Linked DNA regions of Mus musculus: region 1 is reported to be linked to region 2. The links are microRNA targets in miRTarBase. Many come from high-throughput screens and were not tested one by one. Region 2 holds a microRNA gene; the other region holds the end of a gene's coding sequence.
Evidence for each region. Region 2 holds the annotated microRNA mmu-miR-219a-5p (UGAUUGUCCAAACGCAAUUCU, at 1,639-1,659, shown strand). A microRNA usually pairs through its seed, bases 2 to 8, with sites in the 3' UTR of a target mRNA and lowers its output. Matches are read on the target gene's strand: a 7mer-m8 pairs with bases 2 to 8, a 7mer-A1 pairs with bases 2 to 7 and ends in A, and an 8mer does both.

Region 1: the mRNA of Camk2g is a reported target of mmu-miR-219a-5p. Seed matches in the 3' UTR shown: 7mer-m8 at 1,976-1,982.

What each region holds. Positions count from the first base shown.
Region 1 is chr14:20,733,657-20,738,036 of GRCm38, forward strand. It overlaps Camk2g (calcium/calmodulin-dependent protein kinase II gamma), which reads right to left. Exons shown (of 21, transcript NM_001360186.1): 20 at 3,603-3,847; 21 at 1,217-3,196. The coding sequence ends at 3,615. Ndst2 (N-deacetylase/N-sulfotransferase (heparan glucosaminyl) 2) reads right to left here and starts at 906. Exons shown (of 15, transcript NM_010811.2): 1 at 559-906.
Region 2 is chr2:29,842,968-29,847,347 of GRCm38, reverse strand. Mir219a-2 (microRNA 219a-2) reads left to right here and starts at 1,621; the gene lies at 1,621-1,717. It overlaps Urm1 (ubiquitin related modifier 1), which reads right to left. Exons shown (of 5, transcript NM_026615.4): 5 at 2,352-4,245. The coding sequence ends at 4,177. Mir219b (microRNA 219b) reads right to left here and starts at 1,701; the gene lies at 1,637-1,701. It also overlaps a transcript of Cercam not described here.

The DNA of each region.
Region 1 (4,380 bases), not on the chromosome of region 2:
AGTGAGATTTAGAGAGGGGATCATGTGAGAACTTTTGGTGGGGGAGCAGTGGGATGACTAAGTTGGAGGAAGAACATGTGTGTGGCAGTGGAAAGTTTCTGAGGAAGGAGAAACCTAAGGGTCGTCTGCCAAAGTGGGCAGCAAATACAGGGTCAGGGTGGGCTGGAGGTGTGGGCCCACCACTGGAATAAACAACAGGGGCCACGCTGTGGGAGGAAGGACCTGACCTTGAGGATAGAAGGACCCTCCTGCGGGAACTACGGGAAATGGGGAGCCCACAGGTGGGGGAGCTGGAGGGAAAGGGGCAGGGGTGCGGCCGAGAGTTGGCATCCAGACAGGCACTGGGTTTAAGAACCCCGTGTGCCCTGGGCGGAGTGGCCAGAATAAGGCAACTGAGGGGAGGCCAGCGGCTGGGACTCGGGGCAGGGTGCACAGGGCCAGATGGGTGGTCGCCCAGGACGACCCTGCGGGTGGTTTCGGTGGCGACACTCGCAGGAAGTCTGATCGCGAAAACCGAGGGCGACCGTGGACGGGAGACTGCTCTCAAAGATGGCTCACCCGGTGGAGTGGGCGGCGTCCCCGCTGTCCCCGGGCCCTGCCGCGTCCCGGGGCTGCCCGGCTTCCCTGCTCGCGGGGCCTCGGGCCGCGTCGCGGCGGCTCCGCCATCTCCGAGCGAACGCTCCGCCGCAGTCGGGCTCAAGTACCGCTCCCACCAGGGGGAGGCGGCGCGCTGCGGCTCGTGGTGCCCGCTCAGGTCCGCGCGCTCCCCGAGCGTGGCCGCTGCGTGACCGGGACCTGGGATAAGCCGACGGCCCTCCGCAGTGCTCAGCCCAGCCGCAGCCTCCCAGCCCTCCGGCCTCGCGCTCAGCCCACCAGGGTGGACCCCGTCCTCCACGCCGGGTGGCACAGTCTGCGGAGCGTCGGGGCGGGCCCAGGGCCCAGGCCTGTCCACTCAGACCCGCGGAGGAGGGAGCCCGCGTACCAAGGGCGGGGCCACCTCCGCCTGGGGCGGGGCGAAGACTCGGCCCACCGCCTAAGAGGCTACTTCCTCCCTGCCACCCCCCAATACAGCAGCCCAGGCTGAGTTTATGAGAAGTTTTCTTCCTTGCTCCCCAAGGGAATGGGCAAAAAGATGTTCGTCTCCTAGTGAAGCCTTGTCACGCAGGCTGCTAAAATCTAAGCCCACGGCTACGAGCCTCCAACAGCAATAACACAATGGACTGTTTAAAGGTTATTTTATTAAATATCTTCAAGGTTTCATTGTAACAAAGCTATGAAGGGACTACCAACATTCAGAACAAACACTATTTTAAATTATTTCTATGTCATCATGCAAAAGTTCTGCATCAAATGCCTTCCATTTCCTGTTTAAAAGGTGGTTTGTTTTTTAAATAGTCTATTAATAGTCTATAGATGCTGACATTAGCCCCAGAAGTGGAGTAAGAACGCTAAGAAGTGGGGCTGGAGCAGCCACATGAAGCTATGGGTCTCAAAGAGCTCTAAGACCATTTGTTGTCTTCAAGCCAGCAAAACCAAACCCTGTGATGAAGGTATCTGTTGGCTGGCACTGCAGGCTGCAGGGCAGGAAGGGTCTAGGGTCCAGGGTCTGAGGCATGCACAAGTGCTTGAGGAGCCTGGCTAAATTCAAGCACCAGCACCCATGCGTTTGTTCTCTTCTCAGCTGGCTCCATACTCTGTAGTTCTCTTTTCCCAGCTCCTGTGCCTCCTGAAGGTCACCCAAGGAGCTGAAATCTACCCCCCCCCCCAATGCAGATAATGTGCAGTTGTTTGGTGGGAGGGAACCAAGACTATGACCAATTGCCTCTTCCATTATCTTCTCTGTTATCTGCCTAAGGTACAGACCTTTTCTTCCTGGAATGGACCTCCTTGAGCACAGAGAGGGACAATGAATGCAGGAGCCTTGGCTCTGGACCCCTTTGTGGGTACATGCAGGCGAGGGGGTGATGCCCATGCAGATTGTCCAGCAGAAAAGTCTATACTTCGGTTGGTCAATAAAGAGCCTCTTTAAAGAGGACACTTCTCACCCAAGCAGTCAGTTCGATCTCAAACCCAGGGAAAGAGTTGGGCGTGCAGCATGGGAAGAAGGGAGGCAGCCCAGAGGGCAGCCAGAATGCATAGAAACAACCACCAACTCTTACCCACTGCCTCACTCCTCCCATCCCACAGGGGCACTTGGCAGAGGGCCCAGGCCTAGATGAGGGTCAGCATGGGGACCACCACCATGAAAATACAAGACAAAGATGGTCCAGATCAGCACACAAACAACTGCCAAAAGTGGCAAAAGGAGCCCTGGCCAACGACTTCTGGATCTCTCCTTGTTATGTCAGGAAAACCAACAGGAAACAAAGTAGCAATCCCTCCCCCTTTCCACCAGCAGAAATCGGGCCTCAGTCTCAGGCCCACGTGCATTGTGCATCCTCTAGAAATGGATGAGTTAAGTGCATGTCAGACGAACTCGAGGTTTCTCATTGGCGGACACACTTCTGCAGCACCAATTCTCTTCCTGTCTACGCTAACTGGACCGGTACAGCAAAGTCCAGGCTTTCAGTCCTGAGGCCACGCCTCACAGCTGCCTCCACACACAGCAGGCTGGCAGTGCTGCATTCTCTCCAATGTAGGTCCAGCGGCCACGGTGTTTGCGTCTTTCTCATACTAGGTGTCAATGCATGGTCTGACGAAGTCCACTCCTAGAACTGGGGTGATCAGGCCACCTCTGGGGCTGCAACCACACCATGGCTTTGTCCATGACCAAAGCTCTGTCAAGAGTCCTTGCCTGGTCCCCCTGAATCCATGGGGGCCTGAGGCCAAGCTCACCTCTTCAATACTGGTGGGTGAGCCCACTGTTCATGCCTGGATGAGCATCACACAAACTCCTGTCTCCTTGCAAGCCAAGGGCTATCAGTTGTTTTAAAACGCATCATGGTATGAATTCCGTTTTTTTAAACAATCTTATTTTCTTTTTTTTTTTTTCTTAAATGTAAAAAACACCTCGGTACAGCAGAGACAGACACGAAGGGCGGGCGGGAGGGCTGCATGCAGGGGCGTGCATTGGCTGCTGCCGCTTTGTAATTGAATTGTTTTAAACCTCAAACGAACAGGACCGCCGCTGTCACTCAGGCCCTCCAGAGTCACTGGCTGCGAAGGTTCAACCTCCAGCTGGAGTCTCCTAATGCCCCTGTCAAACAGAAGAGGAGGTGGGACAGACAGAAGAGGACGGTGAGAACACAGGTAATTCACAGCACACACTTGGCTGTGTCCTTGAGAGGACTGGTACAGGAGAGGCTAACGTTTAAACACAGCACTCTCACATTTGAGGGCCTACTCAGTGCTTTAATATGGTATCTTAATCCTTACCATCCATCCTTTGATAAGTAAAGAAACTAAGGCTCAGCAGGGGAAGAACGCTTGCACCAAATCTGGAGTCTGTCTGATTACAGAGCATAGCTTATCAAAACTACATTGCCCAGTCTGTCCCACCCCTCTGGGAGGGCCCGTACTTCTTCCTAGAGAGCCACCTCCTACCCTTCAGCTATTCAAGCCATCTCTCCCCTTCCCAGTCCCTTCTCCCCAACAAGGAGCACCTGTGGCTGAGCTCACTGTAGCGGTGCGGCAGGGGCCCCTGAGCAGTGATAGTGGACATTGAGCCACTTGCCATCCCGGCGGTGCCACACCCGGGTCTCCTCTGACTGACTGGTGCGAGGCCGACCCTGCCCGTCGATGTACTGAGTGAGCCGGATATAGGCGATGCAAGCTGCGTCCTCCCCAATCACGTGGACGTGAGGGTTTAGGATGGTGGTGTGGATAGGCTTGCTGTTCTTGGACAGGACTGCAGGGGGCAGGGCAAGGAAGGGGAGGTATCAGGCATTAGGCTTGGACACTCACCTTTCTGCCAGGCTGCACCTTCTTGACTCTAGCTCCAGCAGCCATTTCTAGAATCCCCAAGTACCCCAACATCGCCCCACAGAGGCCACGATCCTCCATTGCATTAGTTTCATCCAAAAGGAAGAGAATGTGGGTAACAAGTCTAGCAACCACACTTCATCAGGTATTATGCGGAGGTTTTACATGCAAGAGAAATGTAATTTTTTACTGATATTTTCTTCACTATATGAAGGGAAAAAAAGACTCAAATCAAATAAGATATTTAAACTAAGGACCATGTGGCTCTAATAAAACCTGTGGTTTTTCTACTTGGTTAGGCTGGTGTTTCAAAGTTCTAAACTTATTTTGCCCCTAGCTAAGGCTAGAAGAGAAAAATCATAAGAGCCATACATTCAAAATCAATTTGTGACTTAAAAAGAAAAGGCACATCAAAGTTTGAAATCTCCAAAGCGCCCAGCTCAGGATCCCCCCAAGTTC
Region 2 (4,380 bases):
GAGTGCTTGAGGAAGCCTGGGAAGGATAAAAGGCAAGAAGACCACCGCTCACTCCCCTCTGGAAAGTGACACTCACTGGGGTGACAACCCCCAGACTGATCTCTGGGGCTGGGATCTGGATGAATGCAAACAGCAGACCAGATCTCTTCTCTATCAGACCTGTTCAGGGTACATATCAGACCTTCCACAGAGCTCCTGAGCCTCTGGATGGGTGGACCATCCAAAGGAAGACACAGGAGACAAGCATTAACAGATTGCCTACCCTTTCACACACACCTGCTTCCCTCGTCCATCGGTGCTGCAGCTAAGGGATAGGAGCCTGGGAATCAAGCCCTTGTCTTTGGGGAGGGGAGGGGTAGTCTCCAGATCCCTCTGGAGGTGTGGTCTCTGGAGACTGCATCTTCAGCCTGTTGGTTGGGACTATATGATCCCCCCTTATTCTTCGGATAAGTGTTCTAAGGGGGGTGACCCTCTGACTTCTAGACTGTTACCCCCTCACACCACGGAGAAACCCCTGGAAAGGAGCTTTAAGGAGTGAGAACTCAAGAGATAAAGATGTAACTGGAAGGAAGCTTGGGTCCTAAAAGATCCTGGATTCTCCTGGTTACTCTTGGGGAACTCAGCCAAGCTTAGAGTGGCCTCATTCAGGTCCAGAGTCCAGGACCGAGATGTGGGTGCCTGGCCCTGGGGGGGGGGGGCTACCGGCAAAGGGGTCAAGCTGAGGGAGCAGGCGGGGCATCCGTAATGGAGGGTGCTGAGTGGGGTGGGAGGGCACAGGGTCCTGCCGGTGCAGAGTGGGGGGAGCGGCCCCCAGGGAGGGGCATGCTATGTCTTTAAGAGCTGCCTGAGCGCAGGTTGCAGCTGCCTGGCCAGCCCGAGAGAGACAGCGGAGATTCATTACCCGTCGACACAATGACCATTGATGGCCCCGTGGCGTTATTCAAATCCAGTACCAATTGCAGCCGAGCCCCTTTCTCCGCGCCAGGCCCGTATTGTTGGAGCGGCCCACTAAAAGCCCGCCCCGGCCCCAAGCCGCCAGAGGCGCCCGCTTGGGTTCAGCCCTGCGCCTCGCCAGCACGCCGGCTCCCAGTCCGGCTCCCTGGGCGCTGCAGGTGACCCGGCGGCACATTCCGGCGCTCCCCGCTGCCCAGGCTACCACCACCCGCGACTCAGCCACAAGGAAGCAGAGAGCGCCTGAGCCGGTGCGTGCGCGGGGCCAGGCTGGGGAGGGGGCCCCGCGAGTCCAGCATCCCAGACCCGGGGCTCAAGAGATGCTACCGGCCTCGGGCCCCAGTATTCCGGATTCCCAGAACCCAGCCTGGGGGCGGGGAGAGGGAAATGGGGTTCCCTGGGCCTGACAGGGTATTCCTCCAAGCTGGGGCAGCCCAGAGACACAACGCGGGTTACTCTAGGGACCCTTGGCCGCGATGGAAGGAAACACGCTGGGGGGCGATGGGGATGCCCTAGCAGGGCCGGGATCTGGACACCGGCTTGTCCACCTTACCGCGGGACGGGCTGCGATTGCCGAGCTTCTGCGAGGTATTCCGATACGCAGCTCCCGAGATCTGGTGTGCGCTTTTAAGGAGCCAGGCAGAACCCAGAGGGGGACCGGGGCCCTGAACTCAGGGGCTTCGCCACTGATTGTCCAAACGCAATTCTTGTACGAGTCTGCGGCCAACCGAGAATTGTGGCTGGACATCTGTGGTTGAGCTCCGGGCTCTACAGAGACGAGGTCCACGCTGGGAGAACCCCTGAGCAGCCGGCAGGTCCCAGAACGATCATTGTGGCCCCAGACTGGCATGCAAAGAGGGGACAAAAGTCCTTGCCACCGGCGCCGCCATCCTCATCCTCGCCTCTTTCCGTATCCTCTGCGGGTGACCCGTGTCGGCTGGCAGAGTCCTCCGGTCGATTACGCTGGGTTTCCCCCACTTTCAAATTTCGGCCAGAACGAAGCTGGCATACAGCAGCGGGACCGGGACCCGAATGTGGTTCGTGCGGCCGGTCCTTGGTCAGAACCGCAGTTGGGGGGGGGGGGTTTGAAGGGATACGACAGCAAAATTCTTTTGCTAACTTGTTTTGAATTTGTTTCAACCTGTCCCCTGACCAGTCCCCCGAAACAACAAAAAACAAACAAACCCGAAATCAACCCGCATATCCCAAACCAGCCAACCAACCCCTCCCACAAGCTCCTCTGGACCGACTGATGGGCTGTGCTTCCTCCCGCGGCTGCCAGAAACCCAGAAGCTGGGGAATGATGCGCTCCAGCCGGGCAATCGCTACGGCTTTGGAAATACGAACTTGGACAAATCAATCCTTTTCATTAAAAACAACAACAACAACAAAAATGCTTCGGAGGTAGTGGGACTTGTTTATTTCCTCAAAAACAAGGGCCACGAGGTGCATGGGAGGGGGCTGTTGGAGCTTAGTGAGTCACCTGTCTCTGACCCCTTTCTGTTAGAGGACCAGAGTGAATGGGCAGTGGCACCACATGGGGAAAGCTGGTTTCCTCAGCCCATCCTCCTAAATGCTCAGCATTAACTGGGGTGCCATAAAAGCAAGAGGTCCCTACCCACACCCTCCCACCCATCAGCTAGAAGGCATCCTAGTGCTTATGTCTGGTAGCTGAAGCCTTGGAACCAGGACAGGCTGACCCTCTAAAAATGTCACAGTGAGAAAACTATGATGAGGCTTGACCTCAGCACACCCTCAGCTGCACTTGGACCCAACACTGGCTGCTACTATGCACACAAGCCCAAGGGTCTGTTGTGGGGCAGTGGCTGGGAACAGCTCACCAAGCAGACGTCAGAGAATGCTCTCCTTGAGAGTCTGCTCTTCTCCACCCCCATCACTGGCCCACAGTATCAAACACTCTCATCTATGCAAGGTAAAGGAGTCCACCTCATTGCCATGTAGTGAAAAGCAACATTTTGGGTCAGATAAAGCTTTTTCTGCAGGTTGTGGAAGTAATGAGACTCAGCAGGCTTACTTAGGCCACCCCTTCTGGGACTGGTGACTGCAGTTGGCAGAACAAAGCCTAGCTTGGACTGGTTGGTGAGAAATCCTGGCTTAGAATGTGGGCTGGTCATCACGGGCTTACACTCCCTTCCCATCCACACCGTCCTACTCATCCACCCTCTCTTTGGAACAGTTCATGTTTTTACCTTTCAGGTGAAGGCCATCTCTGAACCCTTGGCTCAGAACAGGGCATTTGTATTAGAACCCACAGACCCAGAGAGTACAGGGCCCACCAGTTTTAAGGGTGAAGCAAGGCTAGTAAACAACCTAGTCACTTAGTCTTTTTATTTGCCCGAGGCCAGCTGCTGCAGGCATGAAGTCTCCAGAAGATAGAGGAAAGGGACACACACAGCCTTCTGCCCACTAGGTGCTGCACACCCAAATCCCACTTGTTTCAGGAAGCCTGGAGTTACACATGCTGAGGCCCCGCCCCCTCTGCCTACGGTTAGGCTGCTCCCTTCCATTCTCTACCCGCAACAGAATGAGTTGTAGGCAGCCTGGAGAGTATCTCAGGAGCCCATCTGGTGGCCTATGTGGGGGGGAGGCCAGCCAGGGTCAAAGGATGGAGAAGGGGGTGGGGGGGAGAGCAGCTGCTGGGTGGAGGAGGGAGGGGAGCACTGAATAGGGGACCCCAGCTGGGGTTCCATAATGACATCAGTGGGGGACAAGCAGAGCTCTCTGTGTCCAGATGGGGAAACTGAGGCGGAGGCCCTTCTAATCTTTGGCAAGGGAGGAGTTTCTCATCAGTTACTCCAGCCCATCTATCTTCCCCATGAAGATGTCTCAGGAACTGGAGTGCCTTCCAGGCAACCACTCAGTGCTTAGATACACCAAGACACATGAGTGGCAAGCAGCTGGGTCACCTGGGCACAGAGCCCCCTCTACTCCTGACACAGCACAGGAACACCCTCCCCCACCTCAGCTGCTGGGAGGAGTGCTGGACTCAGGCGGCTGCTCTCTCTCTTCGCTCTCCCTGCTCACGTGCCTTGCCCAGAAAGGCTCATTTTTAGCACCTGGCCTCTTTTCCCTGCCTAGAGGAAGCTCAGGGGTACAGCAGGGAAGGAGGCAGCCAAGGGGGACTGAGGACCTGGAAGCAGATCGAGGAGTGCTGTGGTTGTCCTGTGTTCCCCTGCAAAGGTGCTTGGGCCCACTGGGGAGGCCTCAGCCGCCGTGCAGTGTGGAGATGAAGAGGATGCTGTCTTGGTCCTGCAGCTGGTAGTCCAGCTCCCCCTGGGTCAGGAAAAAGGGGCAGGGGCCATCAGAACATGGTCCAGGTCATTGCCAGGTATTAGGACACAGAGGAGAAAGGTGGGTATTCTAGGAAAAAAAGAAAACCCTCGCCAGAAAAATGGAGAGTCTACACAT